3 linked regions of the Nothobranchius furzeri genome follow. The protein of the gene in region 1 purifies or fractionates together with the protein of each later gene. This does not show direct contact. Links are inferred from orthologs where the notes say so. Each region holds a gene or a part of one and is shown on either strand. Other genes may lie near its edges. The genes, in order: ttc4, hgh1 and edrf1.

Region 1 (8,715 bases):
GTTCCAGAGACTATTTGTGTGATATGCTTGTCAGCCAGCATAAGGTGCCATTGTTTAATAGAAATAATCCAGAAAGAGACTTTAACCCTCTGGAGGCAGGTGTTGCAGATTTGCAACGTTAAAATCTACCTACCTGGTTACTCCACATGCGTATTTCATGAGCATTTTTTAAATGATAAATGACCCGCACTTGTATAGCGCCTCTCAGAATAATGACTCCAAAGCGCTTTACACCACACTACGACCACCACCAGCAGGCAAGGTGGGTTAAGTGTCTTGCCCAAGGACACAACAGCAGAATTATCTGTCCTGGAGCCAGGATCGAACCTGCAACCTTCTGATTACTGGACAACCCGCTCAACCTGTTGAGCTACTGCTGCCCCCCCCCCCCCCCCCACACACACACGCACACACTCAGAAGTACCCCTGAAGGACTTAGTTGTTCGTCCTTTTTTCCAAAACTTATTTTGAGCCTGAGAGGGTTAAGAGCCCAAGTTAAGCCAGAGTTATGCTAAAATAATTACACAATTTTTTTAGACCGACAGCTGAATTATGAAAACCGTGATTCTTTGATCTATGAGAGTGTGATAGGAGATGTGGTCACAAACCTAAAAAATCAAACACAAAAACATGAGATCCCTTTTCTGTTGGTGGAAACCGCACATGTTCAACCAACAAGGATGGTTCAGCAGCGTTTTGCTGCAGAGGAACACAGGACGCTCCGCTCTGTGACAGCGGGTGTGATGAGGCGTCACGGAGCTGCGGGGTAAATAGTGAGACAGATATTGGAGTGATCTGAGATAGATTGTTACTTCTCTGTAGTTTAGCAGGTTTTTATGTATAATGGAGAAGGATGAATGACCAGAAGACAGATCAGCCGTTTAGCTGAAAGATGGACAAAGGAGACCCAAAGCCAGAGTCTGGCGCCAAAGCGAGGGTTTTGAAAATGACCCTTGTTCTGAGGAAGATGAGCGAAGTGTTACCAGCGGTGCTTTATTTTATCTTCAGCTTTGTTTTGGTTAGCGGTCTGCTTAGGAGGTGTCCTGTTGGAGCGACTCAGAAATCTTGCGCCGTACAGCGTGCCGCCTTTCTGGAGTTCTCACAGCGTGACAAGAACCGTGTGATCCGGGCTTTAACCAGAAATCTGATTCACCTTTTAACAAACCAAAAACCTGCAGTAACCATAGCGATGACACTAAATTACATTATAACTTATAAATGGCAAAAATGATGTCAGAATGTAATGTAAGCCACAATAAAAACAATGATTACATTTAACAATAAATAGTAAGAATTTAGCCTAAACTCAGTTTCTTAGAAATAAAATCACCTTTTATGCTGCAGAATCCTCAAGAGGGACGCATCTGGATCTACTTGGTAGAGAGTCTGTTTCACCTCATCCTCAAAGTAGAGCTGAAAGTACAAAACAGTAAATTACCTTCGGTCGGACTGTTGATGTTTAATCCCACTGGCGTAACTTTGTCTGTCAATGCGGATTTTAACTCCATCAGACATTTTTCTACATATTATAATTATAGAGAATAAACCTCCTTGGTTAAACTTCTCAGAACTTTAAACTCAAAGGAATTAAATAATTTATAGTTTAAGAAAAGTACGTCATCAACTACCTTATATGTTTTGGTCTGTTTCCTTCCTGCTCTTAGCTTTACTTAACTCATTCACTGCCACTGACGACTAAAGTCGTCATTTGCATTTTTTTACTGTTTGAGCATCGGAACGAGCCCCCGCGCTGAGAGAACATGCATCTCAGCCCTGAAGCCGATCTTCATCCACATACATCACAGATCACATGATCAGGAAGCAACACATCCATGTGTTTGGAGATCGTTTTGGGCCGTTCCTGTAAAAAAAAAAAGAGAGGCGCGAACCGGAAAAGCATCTGCCAATCACAATTCGACAACGGGTTATGAAAGAACGGATAACGCTCGAAACACGCAGACTCTTCCTGATGAAAGAGGTGAGTCTCCTCTTTGTTTTGGTTGTTTTGGCATCGACATCATGCTAGCGCGCAACGTTCTGTGACTCTTAAAAAAACAGTAAAAACGGTGAGAACCGCTGGCAGCGAAGGCCGTTAGTGATCAGGAAACGGCTGGCAGTGAATGAGTTAAACATCACAAAACTAAATACCTGCAGATTCTGGGGGTGGTATTTTCTGTCTGTGTCCCAAGGTGGAAGCTCTTCTCCAAACATGACGGTCAGGTGGTCTCTAAAACTAAACAACCATTAAAATGTTAAAAAGATAGTCACATTTGAGCAAAGCATGAATTCAAATCATCAAATAGCGCCACCATGTGGCCTTATAAGCATTTTCTTACTAACAAATTCATAACATTTTTAATTTTGCCAAACTAACATTTGTAATCTTGTCATGCTCTGTATGATGACAATAAAGAATTCATTCATTCATTTTAACAGCTTCTCTGATTTCTATAACTCAAATTTTCTTTTTGGTCATTGTTGCTTTTTCAAAATGTCATTTCAGACTAAATTAAGATAAAGAAGAGTTTTTAGTTTTTTTTACCAGGTGTTCTCGCAGAAGGCCGAGATAAAATCAGTCTGCTGATGTTCAGGGTAGAGAAAGAGAACAGGCCAATGCAGCAGGCCCTGCTGGTCTAGGAAAACCTGAGCCCCTGTGACCTCCTGGGAGCTCAGGCCATCCAGACTCAGCTGGGCGATGGCTGCAGGAGAGCCAGCATCCTCATCATCACTGTTTGAACCATGCACACGTGTCCCTGCAGGCGGCAGAAGTTTTATACCTCGGTCCTGTCCGCAGATCACAAAAACACATCCGATGATCATAAACAAATATGTGATTTTATATCTCATTCTGTAATGATGTGATCCTAGAGAGCACATGTTGTGTTTAATCAGGATGATTCAGGTCATGCGAATATTGTATGTTTGTTTTAAGGTTTAAAAATAAGGATATTTTTACCTTTATAGCAACGAGAAGAGCTTCTTTCTCACCATGTAACTTCTTTTCTTTGGCCTTGGCTTTTCTGGCATCTCTCTCTGCTGTTCTCTGTAGACACACACACACACACACACACAATATAGGTTTAACTTGATGCATTCATCTTTTAAAACTTTCACGCATAGCTCACCAACAGCAATAATAAAATAATAATACTTTGTGTTTCTCTGCTGCTGCTCTCAGCTCCTGCAGCTTTTTGTCAGTGGGGTGGACCTTTAATCCCTCATCGCACCACTGGACAGCCTCTGCAAAGTTACGCAGCTCTATGCAGCACTGAGCTCCTGCAGGACCACAAACACAATCCAACACCGTCATTATCAATGCAGAACACCAAAGCAGACATTTAGAATAATTGACGTGTAACTGTAATAATTTACTATATGTTTCCTCTGGTGTTTGGCAGCCACTGTGTTGTACTAAAAATAGCTATTTCTCACTGCAGAGATTCCACTTCAATGTCATTTGACCAATTCTTGCAAATACAATCAAAAATATGGAAAGAAACAAATCCATTTGGCTTTTTATCAGTACAGTTGTTGTGATTCGTTACTTTGTGAGCAAAGTATTAGCTTACAGACCTCTGATCAAAGCTTTGAGGTGGTCTGGTTTGATCTTTTTTGCAGCTACAGCATCATTCAGTGCAGAGCGCATGTTACCTGTGTTAAAAAATATCAGTGCACTTTAATATTTATGTCTTGACACAGGTGAATGAACGGTGAATGTACCATGAGACATTATACCCAGATGGAAGTGTGAAGCGGCTCGGTTCGTGAGAATTACAGCCCTGAGCTCCTCATCCCCACATTTCACCTTCAACGCTGCTGTGTAAGACACGACTGCCTGTTTGTAGCTCCTCTCCTTAAAATAAGCATTTCCTTCATTTTTCAGGCTTTTTGCTTGTTCTGATGAGGAAACAAAACATGTATAAACTTTAATATGTGACTGAAGACTCATTCTGTGTTCGGATAAGGACACACTTACCTTCTGGAGGTCGGTCTTCATCGTGGATCATGGACTGGAGACATGCTAGGTCTGGGTATTCTCGTGGGTTGATGTTTTCAGGGGCTTCTTTCATAAACATGGGTATTTTATCGAACTCCTAGAAGAAAAACAAAAAAACTAAATAAATCTCGATATTAACTAACGATCTGTTGAAGACTGATGATGAAAGTCTGAGTTACCTCCTCCCAGGTGTCTTCATTGAAGCCCTTTTTATATCTCTGCGTCTTGAATTTGTCCATGAATTCGTCCATCCCGTCGTCACTGTCACTCTGAACCGCCGTTGACGCCATTTTGGCTCAATTTAGCGCTAAAACGCTGTTTAGTGACGTTAATATGGAATAAAGACTATAAATGTATCTACAGAAACCGAACCCACAGCCAAAAAAGCATAAACGCAGCCTTGTTTACGCATGTGTTTCTGCGCTGCGCGTTTATTACTAGTCCGTGCGGAAACTTAAACCCGAAATATTGGTTCCACTTTCAGAATAAACCACTTACCAGTGTAGTTTGTTTAAAAATATCAAAATTGGAGAAAAACATTTTTTTAACTTGGACTCCAAATATTTTATTTTTTCCGTGGAAGGGTAAAAAACAAAGTATGTGATTCAGGGTGTGTAAACAGTGTACGCGCCACTCAAAATTATTTTAAATAAACAACGTAAACGATAAATGACCCGCACTTGTATAGCGCCTCTCAGAGTAAGGACTCCAAAGCGCTTTACACTACAGTGTATTATTCATCCATTCACACACACACTCACACACTGATGGTGATAAGCTACGATGTAGCCACAGCTGCCCAAAGTGAAACTCAGTTTTTTGCTAATTTTATAAGCAATGTTAAAAAGGCTATCATGCAATAAGTCCTATTAACTGAATTCCATGATCTCTCAAAATGACTTGCAAAAGTGAACCTTTATTACTAAAACTTTTAAAAAGGTTTATGATAAAACTGTATTCTTGTGTTTAAAGTTTTTCTTTTAACATTGACCATTTCACCACTTGCTTGTTTTGATGGGAAATTCTATTTCCACAGAACTAAGATATAAACTTAGTTTATCATGAGTGATTTGATTAATTATCTCCCGCTCTTATTGTTCCATTTCCCCACCTTTATAATAGCTGTATCTTTTTCATGGTTTCATCTACAATTATCAAGTTCATAAATAAAGATAATGAAAGACAAGGCTAAATAATAAAACACCTCTTTTGTGGAGCTCCTACATATTTCTTTATTTCAGAAATACATTTAAACAAGCAACCGGTACCGGGAAGAAAAAAAAATGTAAAACTATAAAGCTGTGCCTTTATTTCTCTTCTTATTGAGCATATAAGAAAAAAAAGCATTAATCAATCCCAGAGACCTTATCAAGCCATTTTTAACAGCAAATTTACTCGTTTGTGAATAAAACCTATGTAATGTCTAGACAAAGTCTTTAGTATTCTTTGGACTTCAACCATCAAAATAAACAATCATGACAATTCTTACAGGATCAGCTGTTAAAGTTTTGTTACACAGTTTCCACTCTTCCCAGTAGATCCAGGAGTCCATCCTTACTGAGGAACATAGTCTCACCCGTCTGCTGACACACCACCTCAATCTTTGGATTTTCCTCTAAAGCCACCTGTCCTACTACGATGACATAAGGGTAGCCCAGTTTATTAGCATCCTTCAGCCGCTTTCCAATGGTCATGTGTGTGCGGTCATCAAGAACAACTTCACCTCTCAGATGAGGAACAGCTTCTCCCAGAGTCTGAACCAGTTCTTCTGCAAAGACTGCCGCCTTATCTACCCTACTGCCCTTCTTAGGGGGCAACACACAAACTTGATATGGAGCGATAAGACCCGGCCAGCGGATCTCTTCCTCTGTTGACATCACCTCGATGGCTGCAGCGAGAATGCGCGTCACCCCAAGACCGTAGCAGCCCATCTCTGCAGTAGCAGGCTTGTTCTGGGCACTGCTGAAGGTGGCTTTGAATATATGGGAGTACTTTTTACCCAAATAAAAGGTGTGACCTACTTCTATACCCTTTGATTCTACCAGTGAGCCAGTGTTGCACTGTGGGCAGTCGGTTCGGCCTGATGACAAAGTCTCCGCATTAGCGGAGAAGGAGCAGCTTCCACAGAGCAGCAGATGGTCCTCACCAATGTCTGCCGGCAGCTGAAACTCATGTGAGAGAGTACCGCCGATGTTTCCCGTGTCTGCCTGCACCTGAACGCAACGCAGACTCAACCTGGCAAAGAGTCGAGAGTATGCTTCACACACAGACTCGTACGTCTGGTTCGCAGCTTCTTCGCTAACATCAAATGAGTACATGTCCTTCATGTAGAACTCTCTCCCTCGCAGAAGGCCAAACCTTGGCTTGGGTTCATCTCTGAACTTCCTGGTGATCTGGATTTGAAGAAGAAATCTCAGTAAAAAACCCACAGCTAGTGACAGTAACAAGCTGGAGGCTTACTTGGTAAAGAAGCAGAGGCAGCTGTTTGTAGGACAGAGTCGTCTGATGAGCGACAAGGGTCGTCACTGCCTCCTCATGGGTGGGACCTAAGCAGTAGTCTGCCCTGTGGCGGTCTTTCAGACGGAACAGCTCCTTTCCCATCAAATCCCAGCGCTCACTGGCTTTCCAGAGATCAGCTGAGCATAAACTAGGCATGTCTAGCTTCTGTCCACCAATCTCATGCATCTCCTGGTCAATCACTTTAATCTGTTGAATAAAAACTCCAGTTATAATTGAATAACAACCAAATAAATACAATTATTCTCTGTTACAGCAGTAATTTATTTTTTTACTTGAAAACATAAACTGGATTGTCAATGTTTGGACACTTAATCGCATTTTCTGTTATTGTTATTTCTTCCAGAGTCTAGTGGTGATGTTTAAATAGTTATTCTTCATACCAAACACAGAATACATTTCCTTTAATTATGTTAAAACGTGCAGATAACTTTTCAAATCCACACTTTACCGTTGAGATGTCATCATCTTACTGAACGTCCTCATCGGGCTCCATTCAAACAAAACTTCATGCCAAAAAGTTCTGTTTTGATGTCAATATTCAACACGACCTGCTTTATTGTGTTTGGAAATGTAGCTTCTTTTATAGTTGTAGCAATTGGTACAACTGTTGCCTTGCAGCAAGGAGGTTGCAGGTTTGAATCCTAGCTGGGCCTTGCTGCATAACGTTGCCATGTTTTCTCACTTTTGAGACAATTGTCCCCAGATGTGATACAATGTGACTTTACGTCCCTGTGACTGACTGGAGACTTGTCCTGAGTGTCCCCCACATCATGCCAGATGACTAGGCACCAGCTCCCTCCCTCCTGAGGAGCTAGCATTTAGGATATTACTTTATTACAGAACAAAAGCTAATTTAGAGCTCAGACCTCAGAATTTTTTAATTTTTATTTTTACGCACAAAAGCACGATAAAACCCACAGAAACAGTTGCTCAAAAACATTTTGTTATGCAAATGAAAACCCACCAGCTTCTCCATGGAGCGCACGGCGGCAGGAAGGTAGTAGTAGCACCCTGGGTTGGATGGATGGATGAGCCCAGCCTGCTGCATGAGTCTCTGGCTCTTACAGGTCATCTGCCCCGCCAGCCGGCTCTCCTGACCCACATCACGCAGGTTCGAGGGCTGGTACAGACGAGACACCAGGAGCCTCGGACGGACACGAGGGGACGCAGAGACAGCTGCGTGCTCAGCCTGACCTGACTGGAACCTTTTTGGAAGAATAAAAGCTCCGTGGAGGTAATAAAAGGATCTCCTCCAGGTCTGGTGGGTCGCTGGCTCCATCAAGACGTTCAAGTGGTGTGCAAAAGTCCAGTAATCTACAAATGTTAGCTTATTAAGTTAGTACAGGTAACGATACCAGCGCTGAAACAAAATAATAAAAAAAAAACCGAAGGCACATGGAGACAACGACTGTGTGGTTTCTTAAGTTAAAACAAATTCATGAAAGAGAATGCCAAACGACGGCTGTAAACTACAAACACAGTCCGTGTTAAAGTAAGCTCCGCTTCCGGTTTTCATTTGCTGTGCACCAGAGCTTGAGAATGTCACAGCGCCACCTGCAGGCAGGGCGTAAACAGGAACAGAAATGGGTCAAGCGTGTTTTTTAACGTAATAGCACATTTCTGTATTCTATATTCTCTCCCGTGTTATAAAACAACACAATTACAAATTAGGGTTCTATTTCCTCAAACTAATCAAATCTCAAAAATTTTATATCAAAGAAGAAGGGCAAAATATATCAATCAATGGAAATGTAATCAATAAGGTTAGGAGTAATACTTGATCACAAACTATCCTGGAAACACCATATAAAATACAAAAAACAAAAAATAAATGCAAAAATATATCGATACTAAAGAAAACTAAACACCATATCTGACTTACTGTGTGGAAATATGGGGCAGCACATATAAAACCAATACCAAACCTATAGTCATTTTACAAAAAAGAGAAATCAGAATCATTCATAAAAAACATTACAGAGAACATACCAATGAACTGTTTATCCAGTCAAACATATTGAAATTTGAAGACAAAGTAAACCTCTCCACTCTGTTGGTCATATACAAGGTCAAATACAAACCACCAAATGACAGTCATAAGTATTTCAAACAGAGCAACCACAAAGACAACAATGAGATTTTCAACAAATATTTTGTAGAACAACGCTGAAACAAATGAGCTTATCAATAAAAGGTGT
Region 2 (8,535 bases), on another chromosome or scaffold:
ACGAGACGTCTTGCGCCCCTGGTTGCAACACTAGGGGGGAGTGGCACTGAGCTGCGATGGCCAAATGACGCTGCTTGATTATTTCTAAATAAATATAAATCTTCAGAAAGAACATGACGTGTTCTTTTCTTACACAATTTAGTAAAAGTTATTTTTCAACACATGAAAAATAGAGCGAGAGGGAAACAAGTCGAAGACACATAAGAGCAGCCAAACAAGAAGCAGAAAGTACAATAAAGACATCAGCTGTAACAGACCACTGCACAAGGGGAAACCACATAATGGACTGAGACGGTACACGGATCATAAACACAGAACAACAGAAATATAAAAGATGGATCAAAGAAGCGACTGAGATAAGGAGACGTGGACACGGGACCATAAACAGAGACGATGAAACATACACATTGCCTCTGTCAGCGCCCCAGGGCAGCTGTGGCTACATCGTAGCTCATCACCATCAGTGTGTGAATCTGTGTGAATGGATGAATGATACACTGTAGTGTAAAGCGCTTTGGAGTCCTTACTCTGAGAGGCGCTATACAAGTGCGGGTCATTTATCATCAGGCATGGGACTGTGTCATCAGCAAGGAGGAGGCGGGCAGTAGAGGGCGACACCGTCCTCTGCTGCCTGCGGATAAAAGGACGTGACGCCACCATCATCGGCGATCTCTGAGGATGGCTAGAGCTACTAACTGGAACATGTCAGGTAAACAAATAACTTTTACTAAACTGTGTAAATGTAGGTCTAGATTTTATCATCTAAGCATCCCTCAGGAATCCCCGCACCATCTAGCTGATCATCTGCAGTCAGATCAGCAGCCCAGATGCTGCTGGAGATCCTCAAAAATCTGAGTCAGGTGTGTGTGTGTGTGTGTGTGTGTGTGTGTGTGTGTGTGTGTGTGTGTGTGTGTGTGTGTGTGTGTGTGTGTGTGTGTGCGTGCGTACGTGCGTGTGTGTGTTTCTTACTGTGGTCAAAGCAGCAGTTACGGAGAGTCCCAATAACTCCGCCCCTTCTCACAACTGATTCCTTGTACTGGGTGAAGGGGAGTAATCTCTGAATCACATACCTGAAACACACGCACGCACACACAGCCCTCAGTTCAATCTAATAGATGCTTCATTAGGTGTGTGTGTGTGTGTGTGTGTGTGTGTGTGTGTGTGTGTGTGTGTGTGTGTGTGTGTGTGTGTGTGTGTGTGTGTGTGTGTGTGTGTGTGTGTGTGTGTGTGTGTGTGTGTGTGTGTGTGTGTGTGTCCAGCCACCTGTCCCGGTCCATCATGTAGGTTCTGGCCTGGGGTAGCTGAGTCAAGTTGGACAGGAGAGGACCCAGGTAGTGCATCTTGGCTTTCTGATTGTAGTTTTCATCACAGAAGATTGCCACCAGTTTAGCCAGACCAATGTCCTCCTGCAGGACCTGAAAGAGACAATAACAACAATTACAACATTAACAACAACAACAACAATAATAAGGGATTCATTTTATAGCCCTCATTATTCACACACTGCTGGTGCTGGTAAGCTACTATGTAGCCACAGCTGCCCTGAGACGGTCTGACAGAGGCGAGGCTGCCATTTGTGCTATCAGCCCCTCTGACCACCACCAACATAGGCAAGTGTCTTGCCCAAGGACACTACAGAAGAGTACCCTTGCGAGAGCTGACATCATCCCACCCATCTATCCTGTCTTAGCTTCCCAACACTGGCTGTCTGTTAAATTCAGAATAGATTTTAAGATCCTCCTTCCCACATATGGCCCGCATTTACTTTCATTTTGAATAAAGTTGCTGGTCAGAGCTCAGCATTAACTCCCTACGTCATCAAGACACCTCCTTCTGCTGCGCCAAGGCACAATCTCCGTTTATAAGACTGACAATTACCACAATATTACTACCAAGCGAGGCGGAACAAATGCCGCAAAAAAACAAAAACTAAACACCAGTTTGGTTGGAGTCCTGGCTGGTTTTACTGGTCAACAGGCTGATGTCCATCACACATGGTTAATCATTAAGTGGGCCCACTTCAGCGTGGCTGTATAAAGATGCTAGAATGACCTCAAACACCGTCCTGCAGGTCTTCTCGTGCCGGGTCAGGTTTGACAGAATGGTGCAGATCTGATCGGAGAACAAGTATCCTGGGTCCAAAAGGTTCTTCAACAACAGTGGAAGAACTTTGACCTTATTCACTATAACCTGGAGAACACAAAGACAGGTGAGAGGTGGTAACCAACTACAGAGGTACCGAGACCCAGAACCAAGACTCACCTGATGCAGCGTCTCATCGGCAGACAAGTTAATGAGGATGTGGTAACAGTCCTTCACTATAGCAACAGATGGGTCAGAGGTCAGCTCCACCAGCGCGGCTATCAGCTCGGGTTTGGAGTGGAGGAAACGGCACCCGTCTCTGGAAGCAGAACTCCAGCTGTCAGTGCAGCGCATCAGCCATGTCTAAATAATTATTCTTGCCAATGTGTTTAGCTTTTTTGTCAAGTTTACTGATTAGAAGAAAACAATAAAGAAAGGTGAGATATTAAGGGCTGCATGGCAGCGCAGTTGTTAGCACTGTTGCCTCGCAGCAAGAAGGTTGCAGGTTCAAAACTCGGCTGTGCTCTTCCCATGCATGCAACAATGCGACGCGGCACAGGAGTTAAGTGCTTGCCCCGTAATCGGAAGGTTGCAGGTTCGAGCCCCGCTCAGTCTGTCGCTGTCGTTGTGTCCTTGGGCAGGACACTTAACTCCTTGCCTGCTGGTGGTGGTCTGAGGGACCGGTGGTGCCAGTGCTCGGCAGCCTCGCTTCTGTCAGTGCGCCCCAGGGCAGCTATAGCTACATTGTAGCTCATCCCCACCAGGGTGCGAATGTGTGTGTGAATGGGTAAATGACTGATTGTGTTGTAAAGCGCCTTGGGGGGTTCCAGGACTCTAGAAGGCGCTATATCAAATACAGGCCATTTACCATTTACCATGCATGGGTTTCCTCTGGGCACTCCGGTTTCCTCCACAGATCACAACATGCCCTATAGCAGGGATTCCCTAAGTGTGGTGCACGCACCCCTGGGGGTACGAGAGCTGCCGCTAGGGGGGTGCGCGAGGTGAAAAGTGTAATGGCTGCGCAGCTCAGAGAAGTCTGTCATATGTCACCATTAGCGTAGCCAGAAACTCATTTGTGGGTGGGCCTAAGAAAACATAAGTGGGCACAAAAACATAAAAACTTTTAAGAGGTTTTATAACAACATTTTTCATTCCAGGTCAAATTAAGATATTAGCTTCTATTTTGGGATGACGTATTAAAGTCGGTCCGCTCCAGCCAGTGACTTCGAACCTGATCACAACTCATGTTACTGCAGCATTTGTTATTCCAGTCCACGTGGCAGCGGATCGCAGATTCAGCCACACCATAAAAAAGCAACAAGTCGGTCTGAGGCAAAAGTGAACCTCATGGCTATATCTTTTCCATATTTTCCCCTATAGACATTTGATTACGCACAAGTAGGTGGCCAGTTCAGGTTTACGCAGAGCAGAAGGAAGGAGAGCGCTCTGGCCGCACAGGTTAAACGTTCCTAATTTAAGAAAACCATTAAATTGCATTGTGTGCTACCTGGGCACTCTAAATATTTATTTAAAATTAAATCAAAGGAAATTGTAATGGTATCAAATGTTTATTAATTACTATTTAAAAAATGAAAGTGATGGGGAAAAAGGTCGTCATATTTTTTTAACCCTGTCTGTCGAGTGACTGTTTAGCTCGACGTCTGATATATATATATATATATATATATATATATATATATATATATATATATAGCCATGCCCTGATGTGGGGGCTGGGACACAGAAGGGGGTGCGTGGCTAAATAAGTTTGGGAACCGCTGCCCTATAGGTTAAGTATTGTACGTCACTTTGGATAAAATAAATAACATAAAATGTTCTTCACCAGCCACCTAACCTCCATTCTCTCCCTCCTAACGTCACCTCTACGGTTTCCAACCATGGAGTAAAAATGGACCCGGTTCTGAAAATGAATGCTCAGTCAAGTCCTGCTTCAACCTCCTTGTTTTCTAAATTAAAGCCCAACCTGAGTGTCTGTCTTCTAGAGTCAGTGATTCACACCTTCATCACATCCCAGCTGGACCACTCCAACTCCTGCTTGTACAGCATCAGTAAAGCTGCTCTGTCCAAACTTCAGCTCGTCCAGGACTCAGCAGCAAGGTTTCTGACTGGAGCTGACTTATTCTTAAATCACCCCATTGGTTGCCCATTCTTGCATTCAAATTGCTGGACAGTAAGGCACCTCCCTATCTGAGCAAACTCCTTCATTTCTACCACCCTCCTCGTGCTCCTAGACCTGCAGATCAGCTCCTCCTCACCGTCCCTAAGGCATGTTAGAAGATCTGCGGGCCTTTTTCTATCTGTGCCCCAAAACTTTGGAACACACTACCTCTCCAGGTTAGGCTAGCGCAGTACTGAGCAGCATGGATACATCAGAGGACTTCGCTGTAGTCGGTGTTCAAAGTGGATTAAAGACAGGACAGGATATATAATCAATCACATATACATAATATTAGAATACCGTGAACATGTAGAGATACTTTATCATGCAGTTGTTTGTCTGCTGTTCTTTGTACAGTCTTTATGAACACATATATTTGCACATTGATCAAAGCAATAATCCCTTTTCAGTTTTTGCCTCAGTGGCACAGAATCTGAGTCCAACACTGGATGATTGTACATGTTTTCATCTCTAGTCTCATGCTGCTATTATAACATCTTATACAATATATTTGTGTCATTACAACATCCTTGCTATAAATAATATACAATCTCTATTCTATTCTTATTTTTCTTTGTGTGAATCTGTTTTTCTTAACTTACCTGTAACTTTGCTGCCGGTGCACCAGAATTTCCTCAATAAGAGACAATGAAGGGCTTTATTATTGTTATTATTAATATTATTATTATTATTATTATTCTCACCAGCCTGTAGCTCTACTTTTTTCTCTAAACGCACCAGACTGATGCTTTTTAATATGAAATGTCCAAAGCTTGCTACGACCCTGCCAGCTCGGTATGGGTTACAGCAGGTTTTGTTGTTATGGGTCTAGGTCATGGTCTAGGTCCAGACGGAGACCCTAGTGTGGTGTAGCGACTGCTCTACAGACCTATTACACGTGCACCGATACGCCAGTGTGACGTCACTGGCATCAGCAAGCTGCTGTTATGCTCAGGTGAGCTGCGGATCCAGCAGCGACTCACCTGTGAGCAGACAGACCCAGCAGCGACTCTGTAGCCACGGCCTTGACATCCGGACGGGTCCCGATGGTCAGGAAGGACCGGAGCTCCGCGGCTTCACCGTCACTCAGCATCCTCTCCTCTCCAGTTCGGTCGGTCCTGAACAACCGAACCGCTGCACGAGTTATGTTCAGTTCTATAGAATCAGCCCACCTTTACATATATGCTTCACACACGTTCCGGTAAAACCCAAAACCACACGCAGAAGCAAACATGACTGGCAATTCGTCACTTCCGCCTTCTTCTTTGCGATGTTTTTGGTCGTGTCAAATTCTCTTATCGTCCGCCCCCTAGCGGCCGCTGGATGAACGCCTGCTCCAGTGGAACCGGTGGAAGCTGGTTCAACTCTGCAGCAGAACCCCTAACCAGTCAGACAGAACCAGAACTTTACAGAACAGCTGTTTGCTGCATAGACATTAAAGGCCCAATCCGAATAGTCGCCCTGCCTGCGGTCTCAGCAAAGTGCACTTGGTCAGGGCCGGCTTTGCCGACAGGCGACACAGGCGCAAAATTAAAAAAAATTTTTTTTTAAGTGTATTAAATTTATGTTTGCAATATGAAATGCACTCTCTATATGCTCAAAATTCCCCTCTGAAATGACATGAAATTAAAACATCAATATTTAAATTCTAATGATCTGGCTGCATGACGAGCTCCCGCTTGGGCCACCGCTCCGATGCATTTGACCGTTAAGGGTGCCGTAGATCACGTGCGTGGGTAGCACTGTAGAAGGACATCCTGTTGTCGCGTTTAAACTTTTGATATCTTTTACAATGAAAATAACACCTAAGCCATCGGGATCAGCATTCCGAAAGCGAAGGAAGGAGGAAGAAAAAAAACAGGCACAAAGCAGAGGTATGTTGACTTTATAAATTTGGCAAAGAAACTTTGTGCGTTTCCCTTGTAGCTAACTGCCTCTCCTGCCACGCACAGTCCACGGACGGACCCTCGCTAGCTGTTTACATACACAATACAGTATCTCATAACTTTAACCAATTAATTTTACTTTTGAATCGTCGTGTCCAGATGCAGTGAGACAATATCTGCAGCCACGACAGGCACCTGTTGACACCACGGGGGCGGGACTGGCTTCTACACCTGTTGAGTCTCACTGTGAAGATGAAGAATGTAAGATTTTTTTTACCGTTTTTTTGGAGTATGATTGCAGCCTTTTTATTAACTTTGTTTCAAGTTTTAAGTACAGGTGCTGGCCAGTAAATTAGAATATCATCAAAAGGTTGAAAATATTTCAGTAATTCCATTCAAAACGTGAAACTTGTACATTATATTCATGCAATGCACACAGACCAATGTATTTCCGATGTTTATTACGTTTACTTTTGATATTCATAAGTGACAACTAATGAAAACTCCAAATTTGGTATCTCAAAAAATTAGAATATTCTGAAAAGGCTGAATATAGAAGACACCTGCTGCCACTCTAATCAGCTGATTTACTCAAAACACCTGCAAAGGCCTTTAAAAGGTCCCTCAGTCTTGTTTTGAAGGCACCACAATCATGGGGAAGACTTCTGACTTAACAGCTGTCCAAAAGACAATCATTGACACCTTGCACAAGGAGGGCAAGACACAAAAGGTGATTGCTAAAGAAGCTGGCTGTTCGCAGAGCTCTGTGTCCAAGCACATTAACAGACAGGCGAAGGGACGGAAAAAATGTGGTAGAAAAAAGTGTACAAGCTCTAGGGATAACCGCACCCTGCAGAGAATTGTGACGACAAACCCATTCAAAAATGTGGGGGAGATCCACAAAGAGTGGACTGCAGCTGGAGTCAGCGCTTCAAGAACCACCACGAGGAGACTCATGAAAGACATGGGATTCAGGTGTCGCATTCCGTGTGTCAAGCCACTCTTGAACAAGAAACAGCGCAAGAAGCGTCTCGCCTGGGCCAAGGACAAAAAGGACTGGACTGATGCTGAGTGGTCCAAAGTTATGTTTTCTGATGAAAGCAAGTTCTGCATTTCCTTTGGAAATCAAGGACCCAGAGTCTGGAGGAAGAGCGGAGAAGCACAGAATCCACGTTGCATGAGGTCCAGTGTAAAGTTTCCACCGTCAGTGATGGTGTGGGGTGCCATGTCATCTGCCGGTGTTGGCCCACTCTGTTTCCTGAGGTCCAGGGTCAATGCAGCCGTCTACCAGGAAGTTTTAGAGCACTTCATGCTTCCTGCTGCTGACCAACTTTATGGGGATGCAGACTTCACCTTTCAACAGGACTTGGCACCTGCACACAGTGCCAAAACCACCAGCACCTGGTTCAAGGACCATGGTATCCCTGTCCTTGATTGGCCAGCAAACTCGCCTGACCTTAACCCCATAGAAAATCTATGGGGTATTGTGAAGCGGAGGATGCAATACGCTAGACCCAACAATGCAGAGGAGCTGAAGACGACTATCAGAGCAACCTGGGCTCTCATAACACCTGAGCAGTGCCACAGACTGATCGAGTCCATGCCACGCCGCATTACTGCAGTTATTGAGGCAAAAGGAGCCCCGACTAAGTATTGAGTGCTATACATGCACATTCTTTTCATGTTCATTCTTTTCAGTTGGCCAACATTAGAGAAACAAACATTTTTTCATTGGCCTTTAGAATATTCTAATTTTCTGAGATACCAGATTTGATGTTTTCATTGGTTGTCACCTATAAATATCAAAATTAAACGTAATAAACATCGGAAATACATTGGTCTGTGTGCATTGCATGAATATAATGTACAAGTTTCACGTTTTGAATGGAATTACTGAAATATTTTCAACCTTTTGATGATATTCTAATTTACTGGCCAGCACCTGTACACATACAATATGAAATTAATATTTTCATATCAGAAGAACGTTAGGTGTGGGTGTAGCAAAACTTCAACTTTGTCCGACACATCGGGCGGGCGGCACCGCCGCGGCCGTGGCGGGGACTCCCCCGCTACCGCCGGGCCCGGCGGGGAGTGAGCAAATGGGCTTGCTTGACCTCGTTTCAACAGATGTTTCTTTAATAAGATAATGGTTGAGGTTGGACTAAGTGGTTTTCCAGATGACGTTGTCCGTCCACACCTGTTTATCGAAGCTTTTTCGGCTGTCGCTTCAACAATTGTGCAGATAATTGTAAGGTTATGAAGTTCATTATTTTCAGCTCCACACAGCTGCCCCCTGTGCACAATAACACCGTGTAGAAAAACCAAGGTCAGGTGTTCCTCAGACTGTTTACATTCCAGGAGAAGAGTCCGAAGGAGAAGAAG
Region 3 (7,993 bases), on another chromosome or scaffold:
TTTGGACGAGTTGGACATTCAGGAACTCTTACGCAGATCCTCACAGGTAAAAATGTGTTTTCCATTTAGCTTCTTTAAAATATTTATTTACACGACCATGTTTTAGCATGCTTTATACTGTACAGACCAGGGATTGGACCTGGCTCAAAGAGATTTATCAGCGACTAATAGATCAAAAATGGCAAAGAAAAAAGAAGAGCAAAGAGAACTGGTACCAGAAAGCCATCCTATCCAAGTTCCTCTACTACAGGTGAGTAAATAGCTTTGCTTCATTGATTGACTTGAGCTTAATGCATCATTCTCAGTATAAATAATCTATGTCTCTGGTAGCATAAACGGTGATGGGGCTGCAGAGCCTGTGTCACATGACATTGATAAAGAAGATGAGGAGAATGAAGCCGAGGAGTACAGCTCCACATGGCCTGCCACTTTCACCAGCACAATGTCTGACGCAGAAGAATCAGATATGCCCAAACAGGTAGCTGAGCTGCACACACAATGCTGTCGGTGTTTATGTCAGGTTATTGTCTCAATAATAGACACGGTTAGGAACAGTTGCTAGAATTTATTAGAAGAATGAAACACTGTTGCTGTTAAATGTGCAGGAAAGCGTTTCTGTGGACAGCACGTTTGCTCTGGGTCAGGTGACGTCGGTACCCAAAGAGCAAAACCTCCCCACTCTTTTTAACGAAGGGGAAAACAGTCAGGTAAATGCAAAACATCTTAATGTTATTACTGTATGAGTGCTGTCATACACGCTGTACTTTATGTGATCATTTACAGGGTTTAAGGAACGATTTTGTACGAAACATCATGTGGACGTTTGAGGATATCCACATGTTAGTTGGGTCCAACATGCCGATCTTCGGAGGCGGTCGCTATCCTGCTGTCAGCTTGAGACTCAGGTTTGATATTTGAGCCATTTTATCCCAAATAAACATTGGTGTGTGTGTGTGTGTGTGTGTGTGTGTGTGTGTGTGTGTGTGTGTGTGTGTGTGTGTGTGTGTGTGTGTGTGTAACATGCACAGACCAGCAGAAAGGAAGATGCATTGGGTTGAGATTATTATGGAGGGTCCAAGTCTTTTTCTAATTCACTTGACTGTGAGAATGCAGCAGCTGCAGCCTCTCCAACACATTATTGCTGCTCAGTCTGACTGATTAAATGGTCACATGGCTGCTGAGCCCTCACTTTGGACTCTCTCTCTGTTTTCAGGGACAGCAATAAACCAATCAACGTTCTGACAGGCATCGACTACTGGCTGGACAATCTGATGTGTAACGTCCCGGAGCTGGTCATGTGTTTTCATGTCAATGGCATTGTTCAGGTACAGTTTACTGTCTCTTCAGGGATATTGCAGGAAAAGAAGAAGAAACAATCTTTTATATAGCAGCAGATTCTACATGCAGGGTGGTTATTTTACAGCTCAGTAACAATATTCAGCAGAGACATACTGATCATGTAATTTAAAGCTGTTACGGCAAATCTGCAAACAAGCTAGTTTTTGAACGCAAACACGGTCTTGGAACACTCAGCCCTCCCCTCAGGTATCTTCTGCCAGAACCAGAAACCCGCAATGCTGGACAAAACTCCATTTTCAGTTCTGCATTTCCATTCTTTCCACATTTATTGACCTAAACATTATGTAATTCTACAGTGAATGAATAATAATTAATCAATTCAGCAACAACAGAATTAAAGGCATACTCTGCAACTTTTAGAAAATTTTAAATTATTTTCCTGAGCCAGTATGTGCTAAAATGGCCCTTACAGGGTTTATGAAATGTCACTCAATCCTCACCGCGATCTGTGGCCAGAATATTGCACTTGCAACTTTGGAGTGCCAGTCCGATCCCTGTTAGCTTTAGTAAAGAGGAGCTGACATGCCTGGCGCTGCAGTCCGGTTCCGTCATGTTTGCTGCATGTTTTGGATCATGAACACAGCTGATTTGTTTAATTTAGTGATGAATCACTTCTGTAGAAGGCAGAGGAGACATTTCAGCAGTTAGATTTAAGGTGTTACACAGCGAGGAGATAGGTTTCACTTTTGTTTTTACTAACTGGACACAGGTGCTAAAAGCAAGCCAAAACTGCAAAGTGTCCCTTTTAAAAAGGTAAAGATTGTTAGTCAGCTTTCACAAGCAACAAAGTGACATGGTCCTCCGTAACACTGTTTTAGCATAATCTTTTAAAGATTTGCTCAACTTTTACTTTGAAGAACAGAATACATGAATATTTATTTGCAAAATTAGGTGTTTCTGTGTTTTGTAGTTAATGTTTAAGAACTACAAATGGTGAGGAGATCCACGTGAGCGCAGCTGACATGCTGATGTCGTCTAATTGGCATATGAGAAATGTGTTTGCCTGAGCAAAGAAAACTTACTGTTATCGTTAACGATTTACGGCCCACCAGCTTTTAATGTGATTGAATTATTTTTAATTCTCTCGGTTTTGACGTTTTTCCCTTTCAGAAATATGAAATGATAAAAACAGAAGACATCCCTCATTTGGAGAATTCAACTTTCTCCACGAGGGTGGTGAAAGACATCGCCCAGAACATCCTCTCCTTCCTGAAGTCCAACTGCACTAAAGAAGGCCACACCTACTGGCTGTTTAAAGGTGGAGAACCACACCGTTGTGTCTGCTTGATGCTTACTCCATATTTATGTATATCTAATGACTCAACTGTCTCACCTTGCATCTTCAGCCAGTGGGAGTGACATCGTGAAGCTTTATGACCTCACTACTTTATGTGAGGAGGCAGAAGAAGAGAAACACCAGAATCCCTTCACTCTTCCCGTTGCTGTGTTATTATACAAGTGAGGGGTTTGTGATATCCTGTGGATTTGCACAACAGTGTGTGTCTAAGCGTTAGAGGCTGTCATTTTTCTCATTTGTGCTGCAGAGTGGCCTGCAACCTGATGCTGAAGGTGAGGCAAAACAGAAAGCACTACGCAAAAATCAGGACTCTGCTCTTAAACTGCATCAAACTTCTTGATGAGGAGAAGCATCCTCAGGTATATGTGGGGGTTTAAGGTTTGTTTTTGGGATCGACAAGTGAAACCACGTCGATGTGAACGAACTCAACTGCATTCCCGATGCCCTTGTTCCCAGATCATTGCCTCTGTCTACTACATGCTGTCAGAGCTGTTCCGGCTGGATGAGCCTCCTGATGAAGACGGGGAGTCGCTGCGGGCCGGCGGCTTAGAAGACAGCTACAGTGATGAAGACAGGGAGGAAGAAGAGGGGGAGGAGGATGATCTGACGGAGGACAGCGATGAGAACGGATCCTATAGTAACTGCTCCAGGCCTCAGGATGACAGTAAGGCGGTGGCCGTGATTCGTTCTGTGGTGGAGCTGTCGGTTCCTGAGAAATACAAATCAACTCACCAGATCAGAGTGAGTGACTCGTTACTTCCTGCCTTTGTCTCCCCACGCAGTGAAAGGAGGAGAGTGGAGATTACACACAATAATAATGAAGTAAGTTTGTTTATTTTTTACATTTGTTGCAGCCAAGTTGTGCTTTTCCTGTTTCTCAAGACAAGGAGGAGCGATGCAGACACGTCCTGAGCTACGTTTTAAAGGTAATAACTAGACAAGTGGTTTCAGTCTCGGGGAGCAAAAGATCTGAATGATTATGTCAGATTTATTCTGCACGGTGCTTATAAGTCAGACAAATAAACTTTCAATAAAATCATAATCTGGTAATGAACAGGGACTGAAGGCTGTGGACAGTAGCGTCAAAAAGGAGAGCGATCTCCCAGCTGCAGACCCGAACACACCCATTCCCCTTAAATATGAGGATGGAGGCGCTAATGGAACATCTGAGAAAAGCATCTCCCTTCTGCTGGAAAGAGGTCAGTCTACCTTTCATAATTCATCACTGTTTAAACAAAACAACATGATGCAAAATAAAACAGGAAATGGAAATGCATCATGGCTAAAGGGTGACCTGTTTATGATGTTTTTTCCAGCAGGGTATGTACAGGTGGACCAGAAGCACCCAACTCGCTCGGGGATGATCCCTGGCTCCTGGCAGCACCGTATGAAGCTGCAGCTTTTTCTTAAAGCGTGCAAGGCGTACTACGTGCTGTCAGATGCAGCCACAAACCTGCTGAAGTACGGGCGAGCTCTACGCTACATCAAGCTTTCTCTGCAATGTTACGGTGAGTTTACGTGTGTAATTGTATGGATTTGCTTGTTTTATCCTTTTTTTGAATTGCAGTCTAAAGTACATTTAGCTTGTGATTAAATACCAACCTCATTTAAACATCCAGTATCGATACATACCGTATTTTCACAACCATAAGGCGCACCTAAAAGTCTTAAATCTTCTCTAAAATGTACGCCGCGCCCTATGGTGCGGTGCGCCTATTGTGTTGTTGTGAGACGTTAACGTAGTAGAAGACAAGGGGCGTGGTGTGAACGTGCGGACGTGAGCGAAGACAGACCTGTGGATCTGCCACATCGTCATCAAGATCCTCGCTGTTTGCCTCAGACTCCGGCTGCGAGTCTCCATCCACTTCCTCTGCTTCCAGTTCAAAAGCAGCCTTGCTATCTGAACTGCCTGGTGGACATTTATCCTTCTCATCATCCTTTATTAAAGCCTAATAAAAGCCTACTAAACTGCAGCAACAATATATCTGTCCAGATCGCTCCAAAATATGAAGTTTACCATCAATATCTGTCTAACTGTTTGTTGTTACTCCGTTCGTGCCACTCCTTTCCTCGCGAAGCGGCTCCTTTTTGTGCACAGCTCGTTACTCGTGCAGCTTCCTCTCTTTCTCAGCTACATAATGATACTTTTTATCAATTGGATATGTGAGACTTCCACCAACAGCAAAAGGATCTCATGTTTTTGTGGTAGGGTTGTCACGGTATGAAAATTTAACCTCACGGTTATTGTGACCAAAATTATCACGGTTTTCGGTATTATCGCGGTATTTTTTAAACGGTGTTGCATATGTTCAGAAAGCATTGATAGTCCTGTTCTACCCAAACTGAAATAGTTTTGAAAAGGTTTAACAGTGTTTATTAAACCTAAAATAACACAAAGCCTTAGCAAAAGTGCAACTTTTCACAAGTAAAGGAACAAATAGCTTCTTTTTCTGGAACATGTTACAGTAGTCAGTGCAGGTTTAAATTATACAAATCCAAACATTCAAAACATAAACAATATGAAAACAAATCAAAGAAACACCACTTGTTTTCTCATATACTTGTTTTCTTCATTATCAAAATGAAAATCTAAAACTCCAGTCCACACTTGACTTGAGCACTGTACAAGTCAACCTTAAAAAATATGTATTTAAAACAAATAGCCACTTTAAACAAATTACTAAAATAACTACTACACTATGTAATCAAATCCAAATGTTCAAGTATGAATGGCATTGAATAAGTAAACAAATCAATGACAAGGAACTAATTGTATATTTCTCTTCATCATCAACAAATAAGATGCTTCATCCAACAACAGGGTGTCCGTGACACGGTGTAAATGCTGGCAGAGGACGCTGCGGCTGCAGTATATAGTGACTCGTTGCATTCTCCCTCAGCCAAAAGTCCTCGCGTCATGCATTTAAGCTAAAATGCTAATGTCAACTTACCTTGCACTGGCTGTAGAGACGTGGGTGATGGTCATGCAGATGTGCCATTAGATTCGAAGTGTTGCTGCCTTTTGCAGACTCTTGTTTCCTGCACGTTCTGCAAACGGGATAGCCGTCTTCTATTAACTGTCCCTCAGCATTTTTCAGAAATCCCAAATATGCCCATACTTCCGATTGAGTCTTCTTTGAGGGCTGATGGATGTCCTGGGCGCTGCCGTCTCCTCCTTCGGCCATTATTTCAGCTTCAAAGTTTTGGTGCCGTTGCAAACTAAAAAGTGCGTGTGCGCGCCGCGGGAACTTCAGCTGAAGCGACGGTGGCTGGTAAGGGTCATCGCGCCAAAACCGCGGCCACGGTAAACCCACCGAGATAATATAGTTTTTTAAAAACTGGACGGTTATTTTTATTGTCAACTTTTTTACCGGGGTTTACCGCTATACCGGTTACCGTGACAACCCTATTTTGTGGTTTTTTTATGTTCACAAGCACATTCCCTCTCACGGATTACTAAACTGCTGTTTACACAAGTTGTCAGAGTGTCTAAAAAGAGGTCGTTTTTAGTTTAGTATAACTCCGCTTTTACGTTGCCTATTAACACAATTTAAAAACTGGGGTGTATTTATTATCTCCTTTTTAAATCTGGATTGAAACCGAAACTCAGGGAGGCGGAGTCTTGCTGCTACAGCGTCCCAAATCAGGCCTGTTCAAAAGACGCAGATACGCGTTCATGGACCTCAGAGGGTTAATAAAACACAATTCAGATCACACTGTTTTCTTAGGCCTATTACTAACACACATATGATTTTGTTCATGTGGAAAGTTTATGTGGTTAAATCCAACAACTACCGGTAAACACATTCTGAACTTCAACACAGCGCATCAGCGCTTGAAGCGGCGCTGCGACCCAAAAAGTACCGGAACCGCTCTCGGCGCATGCGCAATCCTGCATCAACACCGCTCGCCCTCCATTTCCCTAATAACACACGCTGTTCGTTTATTTTTCTACACATTTTTTTACTCACAAAGATTGTCAAGAAAGCGTGTTTGTCGTGTTCATGTCAAATTAACCTGATCACAAAACAGATTTACTTTCTTTATTTCGTTTTCCTCATCCAACCCCCATAAATCCTTGTGTGTCCTCCGGCAGCACTCCCGGTGTACGCCCGGCTTTAGTTGGAGGGAGACCCGCGATTATCGCTTTGTCGCGCATGTCTCATTGAAAATGAATGGAGGAGAGGCGAAGTTGCCTCCCGTGTGTCGAGCCCATTAGAAGAGTACGAGCCGTCAGCACACGCAATGAGGAAGTGCACGTGCGCTCTAAACCAGGTCTGAACCAGGGCTAGACAGTAAAGTGAAGCATGCTTTTGGCTGTTTATAATTTTCACAATGTCTGGTTTGCACTGACATGTTCCGTCCCGAGCCCGCACAGATGTTTTACCGGTATGTTTTACCGCGTTCGCGCCCTAAAATCCAATGTGCCTTATGTATGTGTTAAATACCAAAAAGACACCCGTAACTGAAGCTGCGCCCTATAACACGGTGCACCCTATGGTCGTGAAAATACAGTACTTCTCCATCTGCTCTCCTTTTTGTTTTTGTCCTCAGATGCTTATTGTTCCATTAGTGCAACGTTGCACTCACAAGTGCTGCAACTTCACAGCCAGTGCCTGTCGCTGTGTGGAGACATCCAGCTGATGTTGGCTCAGAATGTCAGCAACAGAGCTGCTTACCTGGAGGAATACAGCTATCAAACCAAAGAGGACCAGGAGATCCTGCACTGCCTGCACAGAGAGAGCAGCTGCCAGGGTCCGCCCCCATGTGCACTACCTTAGCCAAATCAGTTGCAGCACACACTTTCCAGAATGCTTAGAAAAGCACCAAGCTGTGTTTAATTAATGTTTGTTTCATTTTTCTGCTTGTTAGCTTTCAATATGGCAACGGACCTGGCTATGGATCCTGAATACCAGCTGTTTGTTAGCTGCAAATGCTACGAAGCGGCACACGAACTTCTGATCTCAGAGGACTCAAAAGATCAACCCTCAGATCAGCTTTCTCAGGTCCTCAAGAGACTCGGAAACATCCGCAACGAGATGGGCGTTTACTATATGAATCAGGCTGCAGCCATGCAGACGGAGAAAGAGGGTTTGTTCTCAGACATCATCATTTGGAGACTTTTAGTTATTTTGAGGGGAAAATTCCTAAAAAGTGACACTTTTCTCTGTGTGCTGAATTGCTAGTGAGAAGTTCCGTGTCTGCAGCAGAGCAGGAGCTGTGGAAGAAGAGTTTTGGCTTCTTTGAGAAAGGAATGAAGGACTTTGAGGCCATCGGAGACATCACCAACACGGCCTTACTGCTGTGTAACACAGGCCGGCTGATGAGGATCTGTGC

The links.
Region 2: the proteins of ttc4 (region 1) and hgh1 purify together in Homo sapiens (co-immunoprecipitation; 4 studies listed by BioGRID and IntAct, counting the BioPlex papers as one, with this or other methods). This does not show direct contact. The link is inferred for Nothobranchius furzeri from reciprocal best matches to the Homo sapiens genes TTC4 and HGH1.
Region 3: the proteins of ttc4 (region 1) and edrf1 purify together in Homo sapiens (affinity purification with mass spectrometry; 3 studies listed by BioGRID and IntAct, counting the BioPlex papers as one, with this or other methods). This does not show direct contact. The link is inferred for Nothobranchius furzeri from reciprocal best matches to the Homo sapiens genes TTC4 and EDRF1.

The regions. Positions count from the first base shown.
Region 1 is NC_091748.1:68,231,060-68,239,774, reverse strand, and holds the start of ttc4 (tetratricopeptide repeat protein 4), read right to left. Parts: upstream 4,428-8,715; 5' UTR 4,288-4,427; coding exon 4,177-4,287; intron 4,095-4,176; coding exon 3,977-4,094; intron 3,898-3,976; coding exon 3,736-3,897; coding exon of another isoform or gene 3,721-3,735; intron 3,652-3,720; coding exon 3,574-3,651; intron 3,277-3,573; coding exon 3,152-3,276; intron 3,044-3,151; coding exon 2,957-3,043; intron 2,785-2,956; coding exon 2,543-2,784; intron 2,234-2,542; coding exon 2,149-2,233; intron 1,862-2,148; coding exon of another isoform or gene 1,787-1,861; exon of another isoform or gene 1,659-1,786; intron 1,414-1,658; coding exon 1,331-1,413; intron 1-1,330. Other genes in the region: pars2 (probable proline--tRNA ligase, mitochondrial), read right to left, coding at 5,509-6,390, 6,458-6,703, 7,482-7,796.
Region 2 is NC_091743.1:78,687,166-78,695,700, reverse strand, and holds the start of hgh1 (protein HGH1 homolog), read right to left. Parts: upstream 5,521-8,535; 5' UTR 5,358-5,520; coding exon 5,248-5,357; intron 2,402-5,247; coding exon 2,263-2,401; intron 2,191-2,262; coding exon 2,053-2,190; intron 1,416-2,052; coding exon 1,264-1,415; intron 1,071-1,263; coding exon 970-1,070; intron 1-969.
Region 3 is NC_091752.1:32,213,741-32,221,733, forward strand, and holds part of edrf1 (erythroid differentiation-related factor 1), read left to right. Parts: coding exon 1-46; intron 47-125; coding exon 126-250; intron 251-330; coding exon 331-478; intron 479-605; coding exon 606-707; intron 708-783; coding exon 784-905; intron 906-1,213; coding exon 1,214-1,325; intron 1,326-2,469; coding exon 2,470-2,617; intron 2,618-2,705; coding exon 2,706-2,817; intron 2,818-2,903; coding exon 2,904-3,015; intron 3,016-3,112; coding exon 3,113-3,397; intron 3,398-3,510; coding exon 3,511-3,582; intron 3,583-3,713; coding exon 3,714-3,855; intron 3,856-3,972; coding exon 3,973-4,164; intron 4,165-7,210; coding exon 7,211-7,411; intron 7,412-7,528; coding exon 7,529-7,747; intron 7,748-7,842; coding exon 7,843-7,993. UniProt on the Homo sapiens protein: Transcription factor involved in erythroid differentiation. Involved in transcriptional activation of the globin gene.